3 linked regions of the Coturnix japonica genome follow. The protein of the gene in region 2 purifies or fractionates together with the protein of the main gene of each other region. This does not show direct contact. Links are inferred from orthologs where the notes say so. Each region holds a gene or a part of one and is shown on either strand. Other genes may lie near its edges.

Region 1 (3,869 bases), on a different chromosome or scaffold from region 2:
AACTGTAAAGATGGACATACGAGTAGTCCTGAGCAATTAAGAACCAAAAGAAATACAAGTGCCCATTTCAGCATCATGGCAAACATTGTTATGGAGGTGGAGATATTTATTTAGAGCTGTAATAAAGTCTGATACCTTGTTATCCCACTTTTCTTTTTAACGGATTTGCCTACAGATGGAAGTCTCCCCTTGCAATCACAGAATGAGCAATGCGACTCTTTCAGCACAACTTTACAACTACAGGCAAAGTAAGTCCTTAGGAGGAAGTTTTTCACCCAGAGGGTGAACACTGGAACATGTTGCCCAAGGAGGCTGTGGATGCCCCATCCCTGCAGGCATTCAAGGCCAGGCTGGATGTGGCTCTGGGCAGCCTGGGCTGCTGGTTGGCAGCCCTGCACATAGCAGGGGGTTGGAACCAGATGATCATTGTGGTCCACTTCAACCATGATATATGATATATAAGCCATTATATATTTCTGAAGCTATAAAGTCATAATCAGCATCTGCTCAGAGAAAAGCAACCCTACCTCCACCAGGAAGACCAAAAGCAAGTGGAAAAGACACTCACATCAACATAACAAGGTATTCTGAATGAACATAAAATACCTACACTTACATTTTATTGTGATTTTGAGAACTCTGCAAGTAATTGCAGGTTATATAAAGAGCCAACCCCAACTCCAGAGAAAGGATTTTCTGGGGATCAGAAACTACAGCTGCTAGGCTCATCCTCCAGCATTTAAGCAGTGGGGGGGGGAGGAAAATCACCCAGGTTGCTCTAGAATACAAATACACTGGGCTCAAGATCAAACAGAGCATTCATCCAGAACACTTCTGCTCTGACAATGAAGAAACTTTTAAAGAAAATCAAAACAAGGTTTATACAAACCCCAATGTCTTACCTTAATCTTCTGTTCATATTCTGCCAGTAGGGACTGGCTCGCTTGCAATGTCTGGATTTGCTGAGTAGCCTCTTGCCATTTCCTATTAGAAACAGAGAAGAGAGATTTAGCACCCAGGAAACATGTACCAGAAAAAGACACATGCATGGTAAACATTTCCAAGTATCACTAACAAAGTATATGGTACTGTTATGTAAGATCATCTCACACTCTCATTGTCTTCCTCTAATACACAAAAGATATCAATTTCTTCACTTAAGATGCACCTTGAGAAATATTCTCTTTTACTGCGAAATCAGTAAATATTTACACACAGCAAATAATAAGGAAAACCAAGGATAGCAAAGAAAAACACACTCAAATCTGTCAAGTACCCCTCACCTATGATTTACGGCTTGTTATTTTTGTTCTGTTCAATCTATAAAATTCAGATCAGCCTTTCCCACCCACCTGCCTTCTGTCAGCTCTCCAGTACGAACATGAAACATCACTGAGAGAGATTTTAAGCTTGAGTAATTTTTTTTTCCTCAAGGTACAAATAAAATTCTGCTAAGAGCTACTTTCAAACAGTACTTATAACCTGCACATCCAGTTCAAAGAATCCCTTTGAAGAGTGGAAATCAAACAGCGTTGAAAGGTTTTTGAGTGACAACAGCTGCATAAGACTGAAGTTTTGTTTGCTTTTTTCTCCTCATAGTTACTCGTCTTCTGCTTACTTATGTTGAACATCCAGCTGTTCCATCAGCTCCTGCTTCTGTGAGTCTTGGCTTGTCATCTGCATCTCCTGATTCATTATATTCCATTGTAGATCAGATATTTTGCCTTTTAATATAGTGATTGTCTGCATTAGTGGGAATAAAGAAGAAACTGGAGATTACAGATTGTAACACACAGAAGTCACATCCAACTAATGATTCTGAAGAATGAACTGTGCATAACTCCAGTCTCATCCACGCTACAATTCCCCCAGTGCCCCTGAACAATTCCCATCTTGCTGTCTCCTCCATCACTTCCTGCACTCTTTATTCAAAGTCATGCAAGCTGACTCTAGCAATACACTTTTTTGGTACATCAAAAAGGCCATTTTCCATTCACAAGAACTACGAAGTCACCTGAATCTACGAATGGATAAGAAAGTTACTCCGTTCTTACTTCATTAGCTTCAGCTAATTTGCTCTCCTTCTCTTGCAGTTTCTTACTCATGGTCTCCATACTCTTCTTATAGGATTTGTTCACCTCCATTTGCTCCTTCAGCTTATTTTCAGCTTCTGTTTCCCTTTCCTGATACTGCTTTAAGCGTGTGAGCAGCTCCTGGTTACGGTCAGCCTCTCTCTTGCAAAGAGAAAAACATGAAAAGAGACATAGAAAACCAGCACAAAGGTGAAGCCCTTTTTGCCTCTTTATAACTGCGGTCACCACAGCATCACATCGAAGCCATGTTATCAACACCAATAGCTTTTAAGCCTTCCACTAGCAAGGACAGCATCAGCAACTCAATGTCAAGGAACTACTCGCAGCAACAAAGCTGGAAAACAGACTATTCCTCCCTCTGTTAGTGGCACCAATCCTGGAATACAGACACGGCCCCACAGACTGCACTGCACACCCTGCAGCAGATCAAAGACGAGAACATTTGATGTTCTGATTTAAAACTGAACCACACATAGCAAGTGTGCATTCAGAACCTCAGAGCTCAGTAGTTGTGTTAGCAAGACAAACTTTCCTCTGCAACTCCTGGCAGTTTTATGAGGCTATTTAATGGAAAAGCAGCCGGGCTTAAATGCACAGTATTATCAATGAACATAATAAACATTTCTGCACTCCGACGATCTCTCATACACCTTCTCAGTTTTTTCCTACCACAAATTGATTAATGCTTATTTGAAAAATCTGCAGTAAATTGCTTTGCTAATCAAAGCAAATCGAGACATGGATTTACATAGTAAGTAAGGATTATGCAAAGCAATATGAGCTTCCTAAAGCTTTCATCCACATGACTCAAAAAAAACCACAGAATGTGAGCAGGGTGATTACACAGCGCTGGATTAGTGCTGCTCCCTTTTCTGCACTAGTATTTCAAGGGTTCCTGCGACTGACTCAGCTGGATTCCAGTTTGAACTCTTCGTGGCTTAATGCTAAATCACCTGACTTCAACAGGAACGAAGACTTGAGTCACTGACCCACTATTTAACAACCACATTCTAAATCCATCACCCAACACTCTTAAAACACAACAAAACACGCTTTAAAAAAATCATTTTAAGTAATTAGCTGCGTGTAGGACTTCTATTATCATACAGAACCCAGAGCTCTACTGGCACTTCCAGTGACAAAGCTAAGCAAACATATACAGGCATAAAATCAGAAACCAAGAAAAGCTATTAGTCCCTGAGTGAGGCTCACAGTCTTATCAATGAAAGCTCTCTTGTGTGACAGTGCATGGGTTGGCACTGCTGCCATTCCAATTAAATTACAGTCACAGAAACTAAGTACTTGCAATTGTGCCAGCAAAAGTTTAAATTCATTTGGGAGAAAAAGCGCTTAAATATCTCCAGGAAAAACAAAGAACAAATCCCTTTTTGTTACAGCAACCCATGACAATTCCAACGCTGTGTTAACAAGATCTAGCGATCAGATCAGACTGCTCAATGAGCAAACAACGTTCTGACATTCACACAGGATTTGTGCACATTGGCAAGTAGCACAATGCACACACACCATATGCTATTCAGAAGTCTTTACTACAGATGAGCTCAAGTCTGAAGACTGAGTGCTCATTAACAGCTGGAGAGCACTGTGCTTGCTCCTGGACTGCATCTTTTAGTCTTGTTTCATCCAAAAAGAGTCTGGTATTCACATCCTGAGACACAGCACTGCAAACCAAAGCAAAGCACGTGACAACAGCCAGAAGCATTTCCATCATGCAAACTAAAACACCAACATAGATACACTGCATGTGTTCTAACT
Region 2 (4,533 bases):
TGAATTTAGATACATGTATAGAGTGGAAGCAAGTTGTTCTGCCACACACAGAAGCCTTACTTTAAGGGATTAAATAAACTCAATACGATCACAACACAGAAGCCATTTTATTTTGATAATGATGATGATAACTATTAAACTTGTTTAACTCTAAAGCTCTTCATATGAAAAAAAGCATCTTGTCTTCTATTCCTGGCACCGTATCACTGCTGCATTCATAATTCAAGTATAATTGAATATGTAAACAACTTAATGCAGTTACATTGCACTCATCTGGAGGAGATAGAAAGGAATTGGCCCCTTGTTCCTTCTTCAAATACTGAAACTTTAGCATACTTAAATAGACACTTCAAGCAGCTTTGGTGGAAATGTAAAGGGCTTAGATGTCCTGAGGATATCAAACACTCCTATGGAATCATTTGAGTTACACTTCATTCAAGAGACCTGTGATTATACTCTCAAGTGAGCAGCTGCACATAAGGCAGCTCTCCTTATTCCAGCAGTCCTTAGAGCTAGTTTTAGCACTTACTAGCTGTCAATGGATAACAAGGCAAAAATGCACCTGTAGTGTTCTTTAAAAAAACTGATTTCCTTCCAGTTTTACAATCTTATTCACTGCCAAAATGTCAGAAAAGCTTAAAATATGCACTGAGTGCAGAGGGTTAACTCACCCTTTAACAACCTCCTTTCAAATGATTTTTATCACCCCATCAAACAGCTTTTGTTAGCACCTAGTAAGCAACCTTACTACCAACAGCTTAGAGATTCTCTTCTTATGGATGGAGCTGTTTAACTCATTACACGGCAGAGACATATCCAGATGACTCAAGACAACTCCAGCAGATATCTGGTTCTGGCATTTGTTTCTCCTCCCTGCCCCAAAAGCAAATAAGACACTTTTATTTTCTGTTAAGTGAGAATAAGCTTTAACATTGAGGCAGGAGTCCTAACTTCATAGGAAGGAGAGAATAAACTGCTTGCTCCTAACTTTAATCACATATCAATCTGATTGTTAGGTCTGATGGGCTAAAAACTAGTAAAGAAATAGGCAGATGTGCTCCCTTGCCTTCACAGGACCACTCAGCCTCATTTCATCACCAATATAAGACACAGTGTTAGGTATGAAGTCTCCCAGTTGCTAAAGGGCACCATGCTGGATTCCTAACAATCTGAAACAATGTTATGGGAAGAAATATATCATCTACTAGATGGGCAAGCACTTGAGTACTCAAACCTGAGTAGGCTGCAGGAAAAGGTCTTTTTTCACATCAGTGAGGTAAAGACTGGTTATGGCCTTCACAGTAATGGCCAGCTATGTTAATAATCATATATGTTATCTTGTCCCAAATGATCATAAAATGCAGTAATCATTAACAGAAATGGCTGCAGTAAAACTCAGGAGAGTAAAACACAGAAGGACTGTACCCGATATTTGTCAGTTCAGCAAGCATGTCACAGGGAAGTTTTTACACCCAATATATCAATTAATCTCCTTAAGGAATCACTATATCTGTATGCAACTGTGCCTTAAAGGGCATTTGCTTTCAATGACAAGTCAGGAGGTGAACATGGAAGAAGGTGGTCCAGGAAGGCAACAGATGTCCTAGAGAAGAGATCCAGAGAGACAAGAGTGTGCCATTATATTTGATAGGATTATTGCCTAAAGCAGCACCAAAAAATATTCAATATCCCATTAAAGTTCTATAGAGCGCAGATCATTCATGGAAGCCCTTGAGCGTCACTGGTGCTTGAAACCATATGTAGTCCTCCCAAGCAGAAGTCAGAGTCTGAGGAGCTGAGGCACTTGTATCAACGTCTCCATCACAGGACAAATTAATAGTCAGTTTCCTTCCTCGGGTTGGCACTTTGTAGTTGAGCTTGGGCCGGAACCATTCCGCACCACAATTGCGATGCCCTTGGAGCATAACAACAGTGCCCGTGACGGGAAGAGCTTTGAGTTCACTGAAGACATCTGCAATGAAGAGCGAGTGAAAAAGCTTACGTACGCAGGATGTGGTTTTCAGGCTTTTCTCAGCGCTGCCCACACAGATCCCCTCCAAGTTGAGCTCGTAAAGCTCCTTGGGGCTCACAGCATTGCCACCGAGCAGAATAAGAACACGGGGAACCAGCGTCAAGCTGAACATCACTTCCAACTGTTGGAACACTCCCTCCAGCTCCACCAGCACCTGCTGGCACTTCTTGCTTGCCAGGCCCACAGAGGACGGCTTCTTGATCACATCTCCATCCTGCAAACCAGAACAAAAGAGACATTAATACAAGTAAAAAAGATTGGAGAGGGTCCTGATTCACTCTTCATAAAGTATGGTGCATCCCCTCCTCCATCCACGATGGAGCAACGTGCAGAAGGCAACATTTGAGCTTGGAGCCTACAGGTTTCTAGAAGGGGACACGTTGGACAACGAGTGAAGGCGCTGCAATTGCGGCTTTTAAACGCCCCCCCCCCCCCCAAGGCAATGCCGCCCCCCACCTGCGCGGCCCGCTGGCAGAAGTATGCGAGCTGCTCGTAGGGCAGCGGGAGCTGCTGCCGCTGGTGCAGGACGTGCTTCAGCAGCTCGCAGGCGAAGCGGCAGCAGCTCTCTCGGCTCACGGAGCCCGGGAACACCACGGACACGGCGGGGCTCAGAGCCGTCGGTGCGCTCCGCCGGGACCTCCTCCCAACGCGGCCGCGCTCCGGGGCTGGCGGCGTCTCCGCCGTGAGGAGCGGGGAGGGCGGACTACACGGAGCCGCCGCAGCCGCCACACCGGGCGACCGCGTCCCTCCCGGCGCGGCCATTTTGTGAGCGGCGCTGTCCGCCCGCTGCAATTTGAATGGCCGCCGCCGCGGGGCACCATGGGAGCGGGGGAGCGACCACTGCGCGGCTTCCGGAGAGCGGGCGCCATGTTGGATGGGGGGAGGGCGCTAGGAGCCAGCCCTGCGCAGCAGAACAGCAGAAGAGCGCCCCCCAGCGGCCGGGACAGCGGGGCTGTGCCCTGTCCCACAGCCCGCCCGCAGCGCTGCGGGGAGGGGGCACGGCGGTGATGGGGGCCGGCCCTGCACAACTCCCCGCCTCACATCGCCCCGGGCGCTGTTGGGCAGGAGCAGCAGCGCCGCAGCGAGGAGGAGGAGGAGGAGGAGGAGGAGGAGGCGGGCACCCGGCCGGGGTGGAGGGGGAGCGGCCGTGTTTGGAAACAACGTGTCCGCGGCCCCATTGGGCGCTGCCCGCCACGGGCCTCCCACAGCGTGTTGGCAGACACGGACACGGCGGCGCCGTGCCCCGGGTGCGGGGTGAATAGCGGGGTGCTGCTGGCACGGCACATGGGGGCCGAGCCCGGCGCTGTCGTTGTGAGCCCCGTCGGAAGGAGCTGCGGTGTCTGCGTGAATTGTCACGTACGTGGTGCCGTTTCTCCGCCTTTACTGGGTAGTTTTGCTGCCAGACATGTTGTAAAGCGCCCCGGCTTCCCGCCCCCGGTGCCAATATCCGTGTGCTGGAGCGCCCCGTCCCGTAACGGAGAGCACCGGGGCACCCCGAGCTCCATGGCCGCCAGGGGGCGCCGCCCGCACGGGACTTCAACTCCCATCCGCCCTTGCGAAGGGAACCCATAGAGGACGTTGCGGGTAGCGCCGCGGGGCACGTCGGGAGCAGCAGTCCCGAGAGGGGCGCGGCGCGGTGCGTGCTGGGAATCGTAGGCGGGTGGCGCCGTGGACTCCGTTTCCCGTGGTGCCTTGCGGCGGCTCGCTGACGGCGGGGGCCGGGGCGGAGGGGAGCCCGGGCGGGGAGCGGGGACAGCGGGAACGGCGGCGGGCGGCGGGGCCTCAGCGGCCGCCATGGATCCGCGGGTGTCGGAGCTGTTCGGGGGCTGCTGCCGGCCCAACGGAGCCGCGTTGCGAGGACGCGGAGGGGCCGCGCCCGGCGGCGGCGGCGGCGGCGGCGGCGGCTCGAAGGCGAAGAAGAAGAACGGGCGGAGCCGGGGGGGCAAGGCCAACAACCCGCCGTACCTGCCGCCTGAGGTGACACGGCGGGGGGCGACACGGGGCCTGTCAGCGCCGCACGACGGGATGGACGGGACGGGGGGGCGGCTTTGTGCGCCGCGGGGCCGGGGTGGGAATGAGGGGGAGCTCGGGGCAGCGCTGCGGGGGATCCCCGGCTCCGGGATACAGAACGGAGCTCGGCACGGCACGGTACCGGCACGGCTCGGGGAGGCGGTGTTGTCGTACGCCGGGATGCGGCGGGTGCCGGCGGGCTCGGAGGGAGCGATCTCGGTGATGGTATTTGCCTCTTGCAGCTGGAAAAGCTGCTGGTGGTACTTGAGGGGTGTGTGGGTCAGTGCAGGTTGGTTGGCACAGCTGTGAGCAAACTGGGCGGAGAGCATTAATACATTGTCCCGCAGAACACTGCTCAGCACTGCTGGCCGAGCTCTCTGTAAGTTATCGCAGTCTGTGCCGGGAAGGGGCATTCCCCACACCGGGCTATAGCGAGGAAGGAGCTCAGCTCGGCTGTGTGAGATCCTGTCGGTGGGCAGGATTGTCCCCTG
Region 3 (2,906 bases), about 13 Mb from region 2:
GGGCACGAATTAAACCCTCGTATTGGCAGTTTTGACCTGAAATACTTCTGTGAGTTGCGTCCGGGATTAATTGGCTGGGTGAGTCAATAAGCTGAGCTACTTCACATTTTCTTCTGTGACTGGTGCTAAAGATACAAGAAGTATTTAAAAACAGAAAAAGAACATGCAGTTTTGTGTTGATAAATTTAAAGGGTTATTTCTATTTACCTTAGGACAACTCCTGCATTGTAGCTTGTTTGCTTTGTGGGGAATGAAAACCCCTCTGAGAGTACAAATATGCTGATGCTACGGCTTTGGAAAAGTCATTAGTACAATACATGAAACAGGATGTTTTTTACATCTTGAATATTAGTCAAAACCATCCTTATTAAAATGTTCTTTAGCATAATAGGAAAAAAAAATAGTTGTTCAAGAAAAAATTATAATCATTTCATTCTAAATTAGGTTGTTATAAACTTGGCAATGCTCTTGGCTGAGATGAAGATATATAACCAAAGTATGCCATCGCTGTCAATGATACTTGTGAACAGCTTTCAGCTTCTATATGTGGTGGATGCTCTTTGGAATGAGGTACAGTATAGTCTTCAGCTCTGTATTAACCTGAAACTATTTCTTACTACATTGTTTAAATAATGAAGCTTTATAAATTCTTTATTCCTTCCATATTTCTAGGAAGCTGTTTTGACTACAATGGATATTACCCATGATGGATTTGGATTCATGCTAGCATTTGGAGATCTGGTGTGGGTTCCATTTGTCTACAGTCTGCAGGCCTTCTATTTAGTTGGACATCCTGTCACAATTTCTTGGCCTGTTGCAGCTGCAATTACTATTCTGAACTGTAAGTTACAGTAAATGTTATTGTTACTGATAGTAACAATGTAGTGGTCTCTTCAGATCTGGTTTGTGTAATGCTGTATACTTGCAGTGAGTCAGTCAGTTTATGAAATATGCTCTGGGTCAATGGAGTAGGCACCTCAGAGTACTGGGCTGCTAGTAGAGCTATCTACTGTGACACATCACTTTACCTGGATTTTTGAACTCGGTGCTACGTAAACAAACTATAAGTCAGTTATAAACAGAAAGTAAGATGTGAAAGTGCAGCTTCTCTAAAATCTTAGAAGTTAGTCACTAACATGCTAGAGCATATGTGACAGTTCTCCAGTAGCACCTCTAGCTTGTTAGAGCTCTGGCAACTGGAGAGTGTCTTTTCCTCAGAAACAGGATTAATTTCAGTGCAGTACGAGTGACAAACAGCACGTGAGAGCTTTTGTTAAAGGATGAAAGCAGTATAAAATACAGAGAATGCAAAGTAACTAATATTTATTTCCAGGTGTTGGGTATTACATATTCCGTAGTGCAAATTCTCAGAAAAACAATTTCCGAAGGAATCCAGCAGATCCCAAATTGTCCTGTAAGTGCATCTTTTTATTTATTCAATTATTTACGGTGTCCCTTTGGACTCGTGACATGCACATTTCTGTTGTATTGACTGCAATGCTCCATTCATAGATCTGAAAGTTATACCCACTGCCACTGGGAAAGGACTTCTTGTCACAGGTTGGTGGGGGTTTGTTCGTCACCCCAATTACCTTGGTGATATCATCATGGCGCTTGCGTGGTCCCTACCCTGGGGTGAGTACCTAAGCACCTTAAATTCTATCTAAAATGGTTGTACATTTGGGGTTCTGAGTCAGTTTGAAATGTTAATTGATAAGTGGGGTAATAAAAGGTTTTATTAAATTAATGGCAAATTTCTAAGTTGCAAGCTTGAAGCTCAATCCAATGGCACAGTTTGGCTTCTGCAGGTTGTGGGATGTAGGGAATTGTGGCAGAGTGGGTCTTTGCAGTAGTTAAGGCCCTGAGTATCAGCAGAGACCAGGAATGAAATGTATCCATAGGGATTTGGGATTTCAAATTGAAAGTAGACAATATTGGCTAGCAAAAACACTTGTAGACAGTATCTTAGAAGAGGATTCCTGCATAAAAATGAGGAACTTGAATCCTCTCTTGGTAGCCACAGGGTGGGAGTGGGAGGGGATCAGGTAGGTGGTGCGCTCTGAGCAGAGGTAGTTACCATCCACACCCAACACAGAAATTCCTGTAGTTTTTGAGGCAGCTCAGAACTGTAGTTTTGGTAGCTAGAGAGCTTAAACATGTGCTGGGTTCATATACACAGAGTGAAGTCAGTGGGTTTTGAGACTAAATATGAAGCTTATTTGGGGAGGATAAAGAGGTGTTCCCACTCACACTTAAACGTCACATTATATGTGTGCTGTCCTGTTGAATATTTGATGCTTTATTATGAGCACAAGGTGCTTCGGCCTCTTAACAAGTTCACGTCACCACATGTTGCTAACAGCTAAAATGTTTGTTCATGCATTCAAATTGATTTTTCACACTTTATTTTACAGGTTTTAATCACATTTTGCCATATTTCTATGTGATTTATTTCATCTGCTTGCTTGTTCATCGAGAAGCTCGCGATGAACATCATTGTAAGAAAAAATATGGTTTGGCATGGGAAAGGTATTGTCAGCGTGTCCCGTACCGCATATTTCCTTACATCTACTAGAGCACTCCGGATTCCTGATCCACAAATTAAAATATACCTCTCACCTTTGCACTTGGTCTATTTGATATCTAGGCTTTAAACATTAAATGTGACCAAACAATGGAGTGCTTCAACAGGTATTTACAAGTAATCCTAAATGCTTATGAGTTATGTGAACTGACTGTCTATGACCTCAATTTAAGAGAAAAAAAGAAAAAAAAAGGTGAATTTTAAAGTCCTGGAGCCCTAATTTTTCAAGCTAAATTTTATCTAGAATTCTGAGTTTACATTTTATTTTTATTTTTTTTTAAATTGCATTAATTAAGCACTGTGATGTAAAGTATATTATTTT

What was found. Proteins that work in one complex are often made in the same cells at the same time.
Region 1: the proteins of MAD2L1BP (region 2) and MAD1L1 purify together in Homo sapiens (co-immunoprecipitation; 4 studies listed by BioGRID and IntAct, with this or other methods). This does not show direct contact. The link is inferred for Coturnix japonica from reciprocal best matches to the Homo sapiens genes MAD2L1BP and MAD1L1.
Region 3: the proteins of MAD2L1BP (region 2) and LBR purify together in Homo sapiens (co-immunoprecipitation; 3 studies listed by BioGRID and IntAct, counting the BioPlex papers as one, with this or other methods). This does not show direct contact. The link is inferred for Coturnix japonica from reciprocal best matches to the Homo sapiens genes MAD2L1BP and LBR.

The regions. Positions count from the first base shown.
Region 1 is NC_029529.1:3,147,230-3,151,098, forward strand, and holds part of MAD1L1 (mitotic spindle assembly checkpoint protein MAD1), read right to left. Parts: intron 2,235-3,869; coding exon 2,055-2,234; intron 1,744-2,054; coding exon 1,619-1,743; intron 985-1,618; coding exon 903-984; intron 1-902. UniProt on the Homo sapiens protein: Component of the spindle-assembly checkpoint that prevents the onset of anaphase until all chromosomes are properly aligned at the metaphase plate.
Region 2 is NC_029518.1:27,749,203-27,753,735, forward strand, and holds MAD2L1BP (MAD2L1-binding protein), read right to left. Parts: upstream 2,839-4,533; 5' UTR 2,795-2,838; coding exon 2,489-2,794; intron 2,247-2,488; coding exon 1,716-2,246; 3' UTR 89-1,715; downstream 1-88. Other genes in the region: GTPBP2 (GTP-binding protein 2), read left to right, coding at 3,827-4,009. UniProt on the Homo sapiens protein: May function to silence the spindle checkpoint and allow mitosis to proceed through anaphase by binding MAD2L1 after it has become dissociated from the MAD2L1-CDC20 complex.
Region 3 is NC_029518.1:15,153,574-15,156,479, forward strand, and holds part of LBR (delta(14)-sterol reductase LBR), read left to right. Parts: coding exon 1-78; intron 79-444; coding exon 445-570; intron 571-672; coding exon 673-841; intron 842-1,333; coding exon 1,334-1,414; intron 1,415-1,512; coding exon 1,513-1,635; intron 1,636-2,414; coding exon 2,415-2,575; 3' UTR 2,576-2,906. UniProt on the Homo sapiens protein: Catalyzes the reduction of the C14-unsaturated bond of lanosterol, as part of the metabolic pathway leading to cholesterol biosynthesis.